2 linked regions of the Lepisosteus oculatus genome follow. The protein of the gene in region 1 interacts with the protein of each later gene in a biochemical or structural test. Links are inferred from orthologs where the notes say so. Each region holds a gene or a part of one and is shown in the gene's direction. Other genes may lie near its edges.

Evidence for each region.
Region 2: the proteins of ras GTPase-activating protein 1 (region 1) and dok1b form a complex in vitro, tested with the Homo sapiens proteins (2 studies listed by BioGRID, with this or other methods). The link is inferred for Lepisosteus oculatus from reciprocal best matches to the Homo sapiens genes RASA1 and DOK1.

The regions. Positions count from the first base shown.
Region 1 is NC_090698.1:71,890,729-71,899,020, forward strand, and holds the start of ras GTPase-activating protein 1, read left to right. Parts: upstream 1-4,947; 5' UTR 4,948-5,870; coding exon 5,871-6,367; intron 6,368-8,292. UniProt on the Homo sapiens protein: Inhibitory regulator of the Ras-cyclic AMP pathway. Stimulates the GTPase of normal but not oncogenic Ras p21; this stimulation may be further increased in the presence of NCK1.
Region 2 is NC_090696.1:2,884,547-2,892,766, forward strand, and holds the start of dok1b (docking protein 1b), read left to right. Parts: upstream 1-4,260; 5' UTR 4,261-4,669; coding exon 4,670-4,726; intron 4,727-8,220. UniProt on the Homo sapiens protein: DOK proteins are enzymatically inert adaptor or scaffolding proteins. They provide a docking platform for the assembly of multimolecular signaling complexes. DOK1 appears to be a negative regulator of the insulin signaling pathway.

The DNA.
Region 1 (8,292 bases):
GTAGCAAAATATTTCACTGTTCATCAAGGAAGGAACAGATAACATGTTTCAGGCAGTGTAAGCACAAGTATTGTAAAGTATTAACAAATATTAGTATTGAGGAAGGAAAGATGGCAGTGTTTTTGATACAGAGGTAATACCTACTGGAAATTGCTGAAGTAGTGTCAATGCAGAAAAGGGTGAAAAAATGGAATCAAGTAATTACAGACCATTAGGTTTTAATTCTATTACATAAGGTTAATGAAACAATCATTTTAACTCATATAGAGAATCATACTTATGCTAATTATATATTAAAGGATCAATATGGATTTAGAAAAAGGTGGGTCTACAGTAGGTAAACTAATTGGTTTGAGTTCTTTGAACAATTTAGAAGTTCTGAAGTGCCTGTGAAACAAAGGGGAACAAGTCAAATTTCCTTACTGGGATTTTTACTGGGACTATAACCATAAACTGGAGTTCGCTATCTGTTCAGGCATCCCAGACTATAAAAGCATTAGAGAAAGCTGAGAAAACAATGTATTATCTTATTACCCTCCACTTATTTTCCAAATAATCTGTTGAACTGAGCAAATCAGCATCCTGGCTGAGGCTTTGAAGATTGTGGAAAGACAGGAATAAGAGTGAAAACCTTTCATATTGGTTCATAGTGGTTCATATTCAGGAGACTAAGCAGACCAAAGAGTACCCTTTTATGGGGTCTCAGATGGCACAAGTGGATTATCCCCTAACCTAATAACAGACAGTCTGAAAAGAAGACACCCCAAACCAATCCAAAACAAAGCTGTGAAACATGAACCAATAGAAACTGAGAACACAGAGGCCAATCACAACCAATCACAACCTAAAACGATGAGTCAGCAACTCAGCCCATGGAACAGGATATTCACAGCAGCCAAGTTCTCAGTCCTAGTGTGGGCTTCCTCTCCACTGCTCCTTTTCTCTACCAGTGCCTGTTAGCAATCACAGCTGCCGATATTCTAGCCATTTTGTCAAAACCCTCAGCAGAATAGTATCACCTCTTTCCATTCTGTTTAAGATAAGATCACTTTATTAGCCATATACAATTTCTTGCATTAGGAATTTGTATTTTTGCATACCCCAGCTTGCTCTCCATGAGACACACAGATAGGAAAAGAATCTTGGGGTCAGAGCACAGGGTCTGTCATTTATACAGGGCCCCTGGAGCAGCTGGGGTTAAGGGCCTTGCTCAGGGGCCCAACGGAGTAGGATTCCTCTGGCAACCTTCCAGCCACAGACGCAGATTCTTAGCCACAGTGCCACGGCTCCACCCCATTAAGATGGCTGAAATCTTCACTCTGTTGTCAAACTCACCCTCATTCAGCGGTTATAAGGTCTGGCAGCCTGTGTGTATGTAATAATTATAATAGTAATTCCTTACGCTTATGTGGTACTTTTCTGGACACTCCACTCAAAGCGCTTTACAGGTAATGGGGATTCCCTTCTACCAGTCCAAAAGTGCAGCCCCCACCTGGATCATGCAACGGCAGCTATAGTGCGCCAGTACACTTACCACACATCAGCTATTAGTGGGGAGGAGAACAGAGTAATGAAGCCAATTCTTAGATGAGGATTATTAGGAGGCCATGATTGGTAAGGGCCAATGGGAAATTTTGCCAGGACACTGGCGTAACAGCCCTACTCTTTTTGAGAGACACCCTGGGATTGTTAATGACCACAGAGAGTCAGGACTTTGGTTTTATGTCTCATCCGGCACAGTATTGTGTCCCCATCACTATTTTACGCTGACGATACTCAAATATACATCCATACCAAACCCGACACTGATGTGGCTGTCTCTATTCTATCTAATTGCATCTCTGACATAAAAATTTGGATGACTCAAAACTTCCTTCATCTTAACTGTGACAAGACTGAAGTCATGCTTATTGGTACCCCCCATCAACTTCGTAAAGCCAGTCCTGTAACCCTGTCTGTAGATGGCTCTGTACTTGAGCTCCAATCAAAATTGAAAAACCTTGGGGTTATATTCGATTCTGGCTTAACATTCGACCCACATGTACAGCATACTGTCAAAACATCTTTTTTTCACCTTAGAAATATCGCAAGACTACGCCCTATGCTATCATTAACTGTGGCTGAAAAGCTAATCAACATATTTGTATTCTCTCGAATTGACTACTGCAATGCTCTGCTCCCTGGGGTATCTAAATCTACTCTGAACAAGCTGCAGTATGTCCAAAATTCAGCAGCCAGAATCCTGACCAGGTCTAGTGCAAGTGTTCACATTACTCCTATCCTGGAGTCCTTGCACTGGCTTCCGGTCAAATTCCGTGTAGACTTTAAAATCCTCATGCTCACCTACAAGGCTTTACATGGCCTGGCACCTCAATACCTGTCTGAACTTTTATCGCCCTACTCCCCACCTCGCAACCTCCGCTCTTCAAATTCTGCCCTCCTTACTGTCCCCCAAGCCCGTCTACATTGTATGGGCGACAGGGCCTTCTCCTGCTATGCCCCCAAGCTCTGGAACTCTTTGCCCAAGGATATTAGAGAGTCACCTTCTCTAAACTCCTTCAAATCCAGACTCAAAACCCTCCTTTTCAGAAAAGCCTTTACTTAACTGGTTCCATTCTTCACCCCTCTGCTCTTCTTAATACCATCTTCTACGGTCTCCTCTATTGTTACTGTTGTATTGTTGCAATCATAATTGTGTCCTGTCTTGTGAAATTTTCTTATTTATTGTTGTAGTCTTCTTATTTATTGTTATTGTCATCCTGTAAAGCGCTTTGAGAAGCCACCTTTAAAGGCGCTATATAAAATAAAGTTTATTATTATTATTATATTACTGGGGCATGAGGACCCACATGGACCGCAGGGTGAGTGTCACCTGCTGGCCCCACTAACACCTTTTTAGTTTTTCCCAGGAGGTCTCCCATCCAGGTACTGACCAGGCTCACACCTGCTGAGCTCCAGTGGGCTGCCAGCTGTGAGTTGTAGGATGATATTGTAACACTGTGTGTAAGAGCCGGCGTACCAGAGCAGGTGACGTCACCGCCCTTCCCTTGCCGCATCTGGTCGGCCCCATCCCGACTGGAGGCTCGAACCCGGGACTTCCGCATCTCTCTGCAGCGACCTAGCCCCGTGAGCTAATGAGAGATCTCTCCACAGCCCAGTAGCTGTGGTCCTGCTATCACAGGGAAGGGCGGTGACGTCACCCGCTCTGGTACGCCGGCTCTTACACACAGTGCTTGTCGGCCATAAGCGTTACACTATGTATGCTGGCGTGGTGGTTGTATTAGGGTGACTGTCACATCAGGGAACACCTGCAAAAGGCAAATGTTCTGAGTAACTCCCTGAGCAACTGAAACAATCAGAACATAGATTTTTCTTCCTTATATTGAGATTAAATTAACAATTGTATTAAAGTATTAGATTCAGAACTACAAAACTGTTGCAAGGGCAGCACAGTGGCACAGTGGTTAGCATCACTGCCTCACAGAACTGGGGCCCTGTTTTCAGTTCCTGGGATGCTATCTGCGTGGAGCTTCTATGTTCTCCTACTGTTTGCATGGCTTTCCTCCCATGGTTAAAAAGACCAACTGGTAGGTTAATTGGCTTCTGGGAAAATAAGCCCTGGTGTGAGTGTGTGTCCCATCCAGGGGGTACCTCATCTCATGCCTGTAGCTTGCCAATGTCGGCTCTGACACTCCAGGCTCCCCGTGACCCTGTTTTGGATTTGACAAGTAGTGGTGATTCCACACTAGAAGGAAAATGGGAAGAAACCCGGTAATTTGCCTGTGTTTCTAGTTGTGCAGGGAGTTGAGGGAGAGGGTAGGAATATGAGTGTAAGGCGTACAAATGAAAGTCATTGTAAGAATGAGTAAAGAGGCAAGTATAAACGCCGCAGCATATTAATGTACATACTGCAGTGCTTTTAAACAGATGCAAGTTTCTAGCGCCAGGAAGGGACTCCCAGGGGCAGAACCGGGCTCATTATTGAGCCACGCCCCTCATTTAAGCCTGAAATACTCAGAATCACCAACACAGGGAGCACTCAGACTCACGCATGGGAGGCTGGACCCCACGGATATTGAAGCAGCCAAGGCAGGCAGGGTGACAGTGTGACAGAAGGGAGCAACAAAGGAACAGCTCAGACAAAGAAATGCTACACAGCCGTGTACTGTCGATGGAGGCTTCCCATCATTCCCACAGAGCCAGTCCCAATATCCTGAGCTCCCTTTCCTAGCTCCTTGGACACTGTCCTGGCAGATGGCTCTACAATGTGTTGTGTACTTACTGTATACACTGGTGAATAAAACACAAGAAAGCTTAGAAATAATCAGGTCATTAGACCAGCTAATGTGCATTATCAGTAGCTAATTGATCCTAGCTGTTTTCATTGATTCAGCTGTTCCTTGAAAGAAGCCAGGACTCTAGCTTCAGCTACACGTACTGTTCCATACTCCTGCAGTCCTCTGTGTAGAGAAGAGCCTCCTGTTCTAAGCTTTAAATGCACTCATCCATAGATCCCACTTATGCCTGCTGGTTTATTTTTCACTTTCAGGCCTGAAGAAGTCAGGTTTATCTCTCTGTCAGTGCTTCGGGGGGGTTTTGAACACTGTTCTGAACACCCCTCCTAGTCTTCTCTGTTCAGCGTTGAAAAGATTCAGTTATTTTATTCTGGCAGTAGTAGTAGTAGGTTGTCCACAGAGATTGAAGGGGGTTGTCCAAAATGTTACTGTACAGGGAAAAAAATAAGTTAAACGTTCCTCTTCTGCCCCAGTTTACGTTGTTGTTTTTCTGTATAATGGTAAAAAAAGAGTTGTTGTTGTTTGTTTGTTTTTTTTAAATAAGAGAAATCCATTCCATTGCCCCACTTCTCAGGCAGTGATTTTCTCAGAAGCCGGGCGAATCGAAGGCGCGGTCGAGCCGCTCGGCGCTCGCTTGGCCGGGTCTGAGCCTGAGCGTCAACACGCTTCCAGTACGGGAGAGAGAGGTAAGAGCTATAGCTCTCTCGGCAGCGCAGGGGAGGGGGAAAAAAAACAACAACCCACAGCTCTCGGCAGCGCAACGAACAAAAAAAAAAAACACCAACTTGCGCAAGAAACAATCTAACAATTTTTTCACATCCGGCTGGGCTACGGCGAGGGGCCAATCTAAAACAGAAGCGAGCGGAGGAAACGGGCATTGCAACGGCCAGGGGGCGAGAGAGAGAGAGAGAGGAGAGGTGTTCACAACTGCAGGCTGGAAATCGCCGCTGAAACAAGCAAAGCAGAAGAAGAGAGAGGGAGAGAGACAAAAAAGAAAGAAAGACAGAAGCCTGGGAGGCAGAGACTGACAATAAGCCACACGCTCCCGACAAGTGGACCTGCTGCCCCGGAGAGGGGAGACGCCGTGTCTCTGCCTCGCACCCTGCTCGCTCGGTGCCACACTTTCTTCAACTTTTCCCCAGCCCGGCGACGAGGATGGAGACTTAAAAACTCATTTTTGGAGCCCAGCCGTCCGCGGTTGTTTTGTTTTTGTTTTGGAGGGGGGTGTGTGTGTGTGTGGGGGGGGAGGTTTGTCGAGCGTGTGCATTCAGCAGGACTGTGGCGGCGGAGCACCAGCGAGGTGGTGTAGTTCTTCCAAGTTGAAAGTTTTGGAGCTGAGCTTTTTGTTGTTTTTTTTTTTGTTTGTTCAGAGAGCAAGAGAGAGAGACAAAAAACCAAGAGTCCCAAGACAGACTGGGGGGAAGGATCCCTTTTCCACCCCTTTTATTCCCCCTCTCCCTCCCTTCCTTCCTTTTTCTCCTCTCTTTTGCATGCTCATATTTTATATATATATACACACACAACGAGAAACAACAAACGAAGGACCCGAAGAAAAAAAAAATCTATAAGAAAATCATGATGGCGGCGGAGGTCGGAAGCGAGGAGGCAGGTTCGGTTTCGGCCGGGACCGGGGTTTCTGCCGCCGGAGGCCCGGAGGCCCACTTTGCTTTCTTTGCCCAGCCGAGATTGCGGGTGAGTGAGTCGGCCCCAGGAGCAGCCCCGGCCCTCCTCCACCACCGCCCGCCCGACGGCCCCTCGGAGGTCGTCCTGTGCCCGGTGGCCGGCGCTGGGAGTGGCACCGGTGCCGGGCAGCCCTCGCCGTCTGGGGGCAGCTCGTCCGCGGGGGCCGGGGCGGCGGGTCCCCCCACCCCCGAGGCGCAGGGCATCCGGATGTCGCCGACGTCGGGGGGTCCGGACGGGCCCGCCGCCGCCTTCCCCCCTCTGCCGCCCCCTCCTCCGCCGCCCCCCGTCTGCGGGGGTCTGGGGACGGTGGACGAAAACGACATGCTGGACGGCGCGGAGTACGAGGAAGAGGAGGTCGCCTTCCCGCTGACCGCGCCGCCTACGAACCAGTAAGTTAGGGGGGATTTATTGAAAAAGTAAGATGATTTGAACAACCACCACCACCACCACAACAAACGGGGGAGAGAAAAGAAGTCGGTTGTGTGTTAACGAGAGGGCTCTCGGGAGAGATCCGAGCCGCGCTTAGCTGTGAAGTTTGATGGTACAACTTGTTGACAGCCAGCGGTTTGATGTGCGCTTCAAACTGCAGGGAGTAGCGCTGCAGCGCCGGATGCAAACAACCTCTCCATAAAAACTTTCTAAGCCTTGCTGCTGAATCAGCGCCCTGTCGCAGACAGCCGATACAAATCCTTTCACCTCGGTAGAACAGGGCCTTTTTTACTGTCTAAAACATTGGAGTTTGAAGAATCGGCCTGTCTTCAGACGCAACACTGAGACACCTGCAGAGCGACGCTTTCCTGTTGTACTGTCCATTTACAGTGCAGTTACCTCAGACTAAAGAAAACTTCATCGCCAGGACGAGAGTTTCTTGCCTTAACACAGTATGCTCGCTCTGCAAGGGTCTGGTCCATTCCGAGGGACAGGAAATGTCGTGAGCTGGTTAATTGAGCAGGGAGAGAGAGAGAGATTGTGCTTAAAAAAAAAAGTAACTCGATTCAGTAGGACTAAATTAAACGCTCTTGTAGTTTTCATTTGCTGTGGAGTTAATCCTGAGCCAATTTTGGTGAACACCCACAACGCCTGCAGCTCTGTATAGTGCCACAGAACGGTTTATCTGGTTCCTTAGGTTTTGGTGATGGATATGTATGTGTGCATACAGATGGGTATATACCTTGATCGCATATTAAAATGAACAAGAAGTTGCAGGTAAGGAGAGAAAGAAAGTGGTTCAAAATTGAAAAGTGAATTTACAGTCGTGTGGGTTTTGAGAGCTGCAAACCATGAGACTCACGATTGGAAGGCGAGAAAAAAAAATGCTTTCAGGTTTTCACGTGCGGGCACTAACCACCTGTTAACAGCAGTGAGCTTCGGCTCTGTCAAGTTACACACGAGTAAAGGCTGCTGTTCCCTCTCACTGAACTACTGCAAAGGAAGTGTTGTCAACTGCAAGGTGTGATATCGTTTAGCTCTAGTGCCACGTTTACGCCAGATTTAAAGAAAAATGAATTTACTTTAGTGCCATATACACAAGCGATAGGGGAATGAAAATATTTAGACGTGCTCAGACACGAGGATGAGGCCTTGTTAAGGAAAAGGTTCTGGAGCACAGATTCGCACCCTTACTAATGTGTCTTGCTCAGGGGTGCATGGAAGCCACACAACAGCCAGGATGCAAAAATCCCCACGTTCAGGTATTGTACTTTTATAAAATGGCCAGCATTAGTTAAATCAGTATTTTCCAGTAGGTTTATATAAAACAAGCATTAACATGATCCTGGAAATGCACAACTTCAAGAAATTTGAATGTTATTTGTGGCATAGAATTCTTTGGAAAAATGTCAGCCCTTGTCCTGGTGTTGCAGTGCACAGACTTTACTGGTAGCCAAAAAACGTCCTTCCTTGGCTTTACCTTACTAACCTAAATGCCTCCGGTCTGAAACTGAATTAATACGAGTCTGGTTTGTATGTTTAAATGGATCCTTTTTCCTGTGTAATTCCTTGGCCTTCACACAGATTCAGCAAGATATCAACAGTGCGGAGTTAAAAATGGTTTCTATTTAACATACGTTATCTGCTATTTTTTATAGGTAAAAAGCTCCTGAAAGAAAAACTATATAGCTCACTAAAATACATACCTGTAAGTCAGTTGTACTCTGCATGAAGTCCTTAGATACTGTCAATAGGATGATACTACTCCTGTAGTTGTGTGTAACATTCATATTCTCTGATAACACTGTGATCTTATCTGGACTTGTTTCAGTTTGATTTTATATATAAATTGGGGGGATTATGTGGTTTCCCTCTTCTAGAGCAG
Region 2 (8,220 bases), on another chromosome or scaffold:
GAGAGACAGGCTCACTGTTCCTCAGGCTGGGACAGGAGATCACACACTGTATTATTATTATTGAGAGACAGGCTCACTGTCTGTTCCTCAGACTGAGACAGGAAATCACACACTGTATTATTATTATTGAGAGACAGGCTCACTGTTCCTCAGGCTGGGACAGGAGATCACACACTATTATTATTATTGAGAGACAGGCTCACTGTCTGTTTCTCAGGCTGGGACAGGAGATCACACACTGTATTATTATTGAGAGACAGGGTCACTGTCTGTTCCTCAGGCTGGGACAGGAGATCACACACTGTATTATTATTATTGAGAGCCAGGCTCACTGTCTGTTCCTCAGGCTAGGACAGGAGATCACACACTGTATTATTATTATTGAGAGACAGGCTCACTGTTCCTCAGGCTGGGACAGCAGATCACACACTGTATTATTATTATTGAGAAACAGGCTCACTGTTCCTCAGGCTGGGACAGGAGATCACACACTGTATTATTATTATTATTGAGAGACAGACTCACTGTTTGTTCCTCAGGCTATGTCAGGAGATCACACACTGTATTATTATTATTTAGGGACAGGCTCACTGTCTGTTCCTCAGGCTGTGTCAGGAGATGACACTGTATTATTATTATTGAGAGACGGGTTCACTGTCTGTTCCTCAGGCTGGGACAGGAGATCACACACTGTATTATTATTATTGAGAGACAGGCTCACTGTCTGTTCCTCAGGCTGGGACAGGAGATCACACACTGTATTATTATTATTGAGAGACAGACTCACTGTTCCTCAGGCTGGGACAGGAGATCACACACTGTATTATTATTATTGAGAGACAGGCTCACTGTCTGTTCCTCAGACTGAGACAGGAGATCGCACACTGTATTATTATTATTGAGAGACAGGCTCACTGTCTGTTCCTCAGACTGAGACAGGAAATCACACACTGTATTATTATTATTGAGAGACAGGCTCACTGTTCCTCAGGCTGGGACAGGAGATCACACACTGTATTATTATTATTGAGAGACAGGCTCACTGTCTGTTCCTCAGACTGAGACAGGAAATCACACACTGTATTATTATTATTGAGAGACAGGCTCACTGTTCCTCAGGCTGGGACAGGAGATCACACACTATTATTATTATTGAGAGACAGGCTCACTGTCTGTTTCTCAGGCTGGGACAGGAGATCACACACTGTATTATTATTGAGAGACAGGGTCACTGTCTGTTCCTCAGGCTGGGACAGGAGATCACACACTGTATTATTATTATTGAGAGCCAGGCTCACTGTCTGTTCCTCAGGCTAGGACAGGAGATCACACACTGTATTATTATTATTGAGAGACAGGCTCACTGTTCCTCAGGCTGGGACAGCAGATCACACACTGTATTATTATTATTGAGAAACAGGCTCACTGTTCCTCAGGCTGGGACAGGAGATCACACACTGTATTATTATTATTGAGAGACAGACTCACTGTTTGTTCCTCAGGCTATGTCAGGAGATCACACACTGTATTATTATTATTTAGGGACAGGCTCACTGTCTGTTCCTCAGGCTGTGTCAGGAGATGACACTGTATTATTATTATTGAGAGACGGGTTCACTGTCTGTTCCTCAGGCTGGGACAGGAGATCACACACTGTATTATTATTATTGAGAGACAGGCTCACTGTCTGTTCCTCAGGCTGGGACAGGAGATCACACACTGAATTATTATTATTGAGAGACAGACTCACTGTTCCTCAGGCTGGGACAGGAGATCACACACTGTATTATTATTATTGAGAGACAGGCTCACTGTCTGTTCCTCAGACTGAGACAGGAGATCGCACACTGTATTATTATTATTGAGAGACAGGCTCACTGTCTGTTCCTCAGACTGAGACAGGAAATCACACACTGTATTATTATTATTGAGAGACAGGCTCACTGTTCCTCAGGCTGGGACAGGAGATCACACACTGTATTATTATTATTGAGAGACAGGCTCACTGTCTGTTCCTCAGACTGAGACAGGAAATCACACACTGTATTATTATTATTGAGAGACAGGCTCACTGTTCCTCAGGCTGGGACAGGAGATCACACACTATTATTATTATTGAGAGACAGGCTCACTGTCTGTTCCTCAGGCTGGGACAGGAGATCACACACTGTATTATTATTATTGAGAGACAGACTCACTGTTCCTCAGGCTGGGACAGGAGATCACACACTGTATTATTATTATTGAGAGACGGGCTCACTGTCTGTTCCTCAGGCTGGGACAGGAGATCACACACTGTATTATTATTATTGAGAGACAGACTCACTGTTCCTCAGGCTGGGACAGGAGATCACACACTGTATTATTGTTATTGAGAGACAGACTCACTGTTTGTTCCTCAGGCTGGGACAGCAGATCTCACACTGGGCTGCAACTCTCTTGAGTTTCCTCCTCCCTCCCCCAGTAGGACTCTTCTGATTCAAGCAGGAGTGTTTGTAGCGCCCTCTAGCTAGACTCCACCAGCACTTGATATCTCGCTGCGCCTTTGGCTCTGATGCCTCAGCTGACTGAACTGCACCTTCACGGTGCTTAATGCAAACACTGGGCTTTCCCAGAGCAGGGAAACGTAGCTGGAAAATAAAGTCATAAGCCACAGCACCCGTGATTTAATTGATAGTTTTGTGTTCGATCGAATCGTTATTTAAAGAAATCTGCGAATTGCGTAGACATTCAGCGAAACCACTGCTAACTTCAAGTGTGTGGAAAATGTGTTATGAATAAAACCGCCTTTCTATAATCCTTAAACGCACATCATTGATGAATGGGTTGAAATCAAGGAACTATATATTACACCAAATAAAATATGAAAATTAAATGAAGGATGTCGCGGTTTCCGTGGCCATGTCTGTGATATTAAAATGAATGTGTAAAGCTCTGGAGATCTTGTTTTCTGTATCACAAGAAGTGTTGTCCAAGCCGATATTAATTATAGGTAATTTAGTAGGTTATTTCTCTATCAATGAATTTGTGTTATGTTTCAGGATCGGGTGCACGAGTGAAAATAAAGATGACAGAGACCATCTGACCCGTCTCTTGATTTGTGCTCTCCCTGTACTTCACTGACCCAGATGGAGAATGTGCCGTGCATGCAGCTCAAGACATGACACTTCACACAGTACACATTTAACAGATGAATGATGGGAGAGCAAACAGATGTAAAGCAAATACGCGCCGCTGTTTCAGATGCAGCCGGTTGACAGCTGCGGGGGTCGAGGATGACCGAGCTCTCGCTCTTGATTCGGGCGGTGGAAGGTCATGAGTCAGTAACACTAACAGCGCTCTTGATATTACCTTGCTTCTGCGATGATCTCGGTCGTGATTTTTTCGCGTAGGACCCGGGTGGGATTTACAGTACTTCTACACAACAATCCTTTGTGTAAAGAAAAGCCCTTTTCTACTTGTGTCTTTTTCGCGTCCTCATTCTTGTTTTCCAGTTGGTCTGGGAATCCATATGACTCGGACGGACTTGATCAATTTCCTCTTGAGCGTTTTAACTACGGGGGTATCCAGCGCTCTGATAGTTTCTTGTCGAGGACTGAAGAGATTCCGTGTCTGCACAGCATTTCCCTCGAGCCCCGAACTAACCCACTTGCCGAGCAGAGCAGAGCAGGAAAGTCGTCTTTGGTCCTGTAGCGCCCACATGTCGAAGTATTCAAACTGGGGTCATACCAGATTGTGTAACCTAAACATCAACTTCAATTGATTTTAAAATGTACACTCTTCTAACCGCAGTGTCTAAATGATCCTGTAATGTGCTTAACGTGTGCGCTCTTGATAATTAATAGTTAATACTTGGCATTCTACATTTGAATTTGATCAATTCCATCTAGAGGCAACAATACAATTACAAAGACTGAACAAGTCAGCCACGCATCGCCAGAAGCTCACTTTTAAACGCTCAGGAAAACAATTTAAAAATATGTTTCCCCAAATGAGTTTTACCCAGATCAGACAACTGTAAATGCCACACTCTGCGCAGCCAAATTCACATTTTATATACATTCACCTATTACTAATGCGCAACTTTTAATGTGAAACACGTCCATCACTCCATTGAGTTTCTCAGCGCTTCTTGCAATTCTAAGTTGGAACAAAATTGTGTTGTTTTTTTTTGCTACATTTTGGGCGAAACGTCCGCTTGCGCGCTGCCGGGCCCCCGCTGTGCCACTCGTGACGCGGCGCGGGGTGGGTGCGGAGGGGGCTGGGTCGCTGTGCGGGGGCAGAGCCGGAGGGAGGGAGCTGGCGGGGACCGAAGTACAGCGCCTGTCACAGCCCGGTCCCGCACTCACACTCGCTGCGAGGCGTGGCGCGGCGTGGCGGGGACCTGCGTGCGCTCGCGCGGAGAACACGGCTTGCACGCCGCGGAGGCAGCGACGCTTCGCGTGGCCGATGGGGCAGCAGGAGCAGTCCGGGCTCAGTGGCTCTCGGTAGCGCAGCTGGTGCACAAGCCCCAACGTCTGCCGTTTGCCAAGCGGAAGTTACAGGCAGTAGGAAGTCTGGGGGCGAAAAAAAAAGAAGTTAAGAAACTGAAAAGGAGAAAAAAAAGTCATTCAACCGTGTGACAAGTTCACAAGAAAACAAAACCCTCTCTCGGGGGGAACGGAAGGAGATGGATACGCACGTTAAAGAAGGCCAACTCTACGTCCAGCACCAGAAGTTTGGCAAGGTAAAGACCGAGATCGTGTGCTGTCTGACAGGCTGGGGCAGGCTGTCTCCCCAGAGCGCTCATCGGTGCGCACACACCCGCCCCTGCACTGCCCTGCCCGTCTGTCAGGGCGCACGGTTCACAAAGTGACTTGAATCCTTCCAGCCGCAGTCTTTCTGCCGTGTGTCACGTTGAACCCTCTGGGTAATAAAGTTTAGTTTTTTGTTGCACTTCGGTGCACTGACAGTAATGAAACTCTTTTAAAAGAGGAAGTCGGAGGAGAAGGCAGAGGTGGCTGTGCTGAATGCGTGCGTGAAGAGCAGTGTTTTGCACTTTTTTTTCGGTTTTGGGTAAAAGAACGCATTCGAAAGTAATCGTCGGTGATTGTCGTTAATCTCCATAGGGGGGTGAAACGTTGAGCCCTGTGCGGATTGTGTAACCTTCCTCTCTCATCCATGTTTCATTTTCTTAAAAAAAAAACTAGCAGATACTAGACGAGGAAAGTTACCCACGCAAGGTTTGCAGATAATCGCCTCTGGATTCTCTTCAGTTTATGCAAAGTGGAGCAGGACAAAGGGCTGTGTTGAGTTAGTGGATGTTGTCTAAGGATATCAAAAACAGTGTACCCGAAAAGCGTTTATTTAAGGAATACGGAGGCTTAGTGATGTGATTTGTGCATTGGCGTAGTTGGCCATGAGCGAGTTGCTGGAATTATTGCATATCTAGATTTATTGGAAAACATTGCATAAGACAGAGCATATCTCACGACAAAACGATCCTGTGGCCGCTTTCTTCGCGTGTGCTGTTACGACAGAGCTAGGTCAATGCGGTCACGAGAAGTTGGACTCAGTAGTGAGTTACGTGAACTTGTGAGTTCGGAAACAGGTGCAGCGATAACACTGACGTTCACACGGGTGACACTAACGCTATGAGCTTCTGACAGGTAGCATAGGAAAATGTGCAGGCCTGAGGAGGAAGTTCACAAGAGCTGAGTGATTTGGCTGTTAGAGCAGTTGGACTTTGGCTGAAGCATTGCACCACAACATCACTGTTAATATAGTTGCTAACATCTTTATCCAAAGCGACCTCCCATTGTTCAGCATTTTACTGTTTTACTTTTGCTGCTTGTGTCCTACCTGGAATATGAGCCCTCCACCTCCTAGTCACCACTCCAGGGCCCTGACCAGTCCTGGAGCAACACGGAGTCTCCCATGAACTGGGAATCTGACTGCTGGCTTGTAGGAAAGGATAGATAAACTGAAAGGCCAACAACTGTTGTCCACTCGTATGTGCCTGAGACATCCACCAGCCACCAGGATGTGCTCTGTGCTCTGTGAAATCAGAGCAGGTCAGACCTTGGCTTTCTGTACGGATCACTGAGATGCTGTCTCCATGGGGGTGGGGGAGTGTTGGCATAATGACTCTGACAGCTCAGTCACCTACTGCAGCGGCACCTTAGACACTTATACAGCCTCCTGCATTCTGGGACTGAGCTCAGTCACCTTAGACAGTTGTGTTTCCTCGGTCCTGCTGGTGCTTGGTGTTGTGAGCCCAAGTCCTAGTTTGAGTGTCATGCTGTGGGCTGCAGTTGGACCATGGGAATGGGATGGAGGCACTCTAGCCCAGTACCTCAAGTAAGTCAGCTCAGAAATTGGAGTGCTCTCTACTTCTTCCTTACAGGCCGCCTTGCATGACACTGATCTTAAACTGATTTTTATGAACAGCAGCTGTGCATATAAAGCTCAGAGTTCGTGCAGGTGGAGAAGAGATTTCCGTTCAGGACTTGAAGGCAGGAGTGTTGAGTAGCTGTTAAGGCCCTGGACGTATGATGGGGTGGTTGCAGGTTCCAATCACAGGGAACAGCTATTGAACCCTTTGCTTGAGCTGTTTCAGTAAGGTGGTCAGTTGTATAAATACAAGCATGTGCTACTTCCAATAAAACTGTCAGCTAAAGCAAGTAAAAGATGAATTGATAAGTTGCCTTCCACTACCAAGAACTGATTTTGCTGTATGTTGATTGAGCTTTTCATTCACAAGCATCCCAAATATCTGTGGGAGGGACCGTCTTCATTCACCACACGAGAGAATTGAGCTGAAGAATGTTGTGCTTCACTTATTCCACAAAGAAACACATTCCTGAGAGGTGAGGCACAATAACTTAAACCTGTGCTTGAAGGCATAAGTGGAGTGGAGAGTGAGGAGACCTCGTACTGTTACTAGCAGCTCGTAAGCAGGCAGTTTGAACATCGTCCCCTGCAGAGGAATCCCTAGAAGACAAGCGATGGCATTGCATCAGTGAAAACAACGTTCTGAATCCTTTAAAACATTGGTACAATTCTGTGAGTTATAAAATGAGTCTTTTGTGATTGTCTGACAGAGGAGGCAGAGACGTTTGTTGTTTTTTGGACTATGTATGGAAGGCATGGACCATACCACAGCACGTTGGTGGTAAGAATATTGTTAAAAATGAGTCTTTGCACTTTTTTGCAGAGTTTTTCACATCAGATTGTAATTTTTACTTCCTCGATGTCATGCCCTGGAGCAATAAGGCAGTCACTGTAGAAAGTGCACGGAGTCTGATTGCGTCACTGTGAAAGAGATGAGGCCTTGTCACAGGAATGGGATGGTTTCTAGGTGGGCAGACGAAACCAGAACGCCCAAAGCACTGTGTAATAGCACCCTCCTGCACCTCGCCTACAGAAAGAGACCTGTTGTGACGTGTGTGCAGATTGACTCAGGGCTACCCACTCAGAGAAACTCCTTTGCTGGAGGAGTCCTGTTTCAGAAACACACTGCATCTCTCTGTTACGAGGCACTGTAGTGGGATGAGTTCACTATACCTCTCTGTCACGAGGCACTGTAGTGGGATGAGTTCACTATGCCTCTCTGTCACAAGGCACTGTAGTGGGATGAATTCACTATTCCTCTCTATCAAGAGGCACTGTAGTGGGATGAGTTCACTATACCTCTCTGTCACGAGGCACTGTAGTGGGATGAGTTCAGTATACCTCTCTGTCACACTGCACTGTAGTGGGTTGAGTTCACTACAGCTCTCTGTCACATTGCACTGTAGTGGGTTGAGTTCACTACAGCTCTCTGTCCTACTGCACTGAAGTGGGATGAGTTCAGTATACCTCTCTGTCACACTGCACTGTAGTGGGTTGAGTTCACTACAGCTCTCTGTCACACTGCACTGAAGATGCAAAGGATCAAGTAAAGGTTTATTCCATGCTGAATAGAGAAGAAAAGAAGCACAGCGTTTCGGCTGTGGAGCCTTCTTTGTGTGTACAGCAGCACAGACAGAGGACTGTCCACAGAGTGAGCACCATGTTTTCTCCAGGCACAGCCCACATGAAAGGGCTTTTAAAACCAGGAACAGGAGGCATTCTACCAAATGAGCAAGACCACCTGCTTGTGACATTGCTTTCATATCCACCACCCTAACATTTTAATAGTTGATTGAGCTGCACTTCGTTTCTTATACTAAGTCTTAATGGAGTTGTGCGTCGCAAATG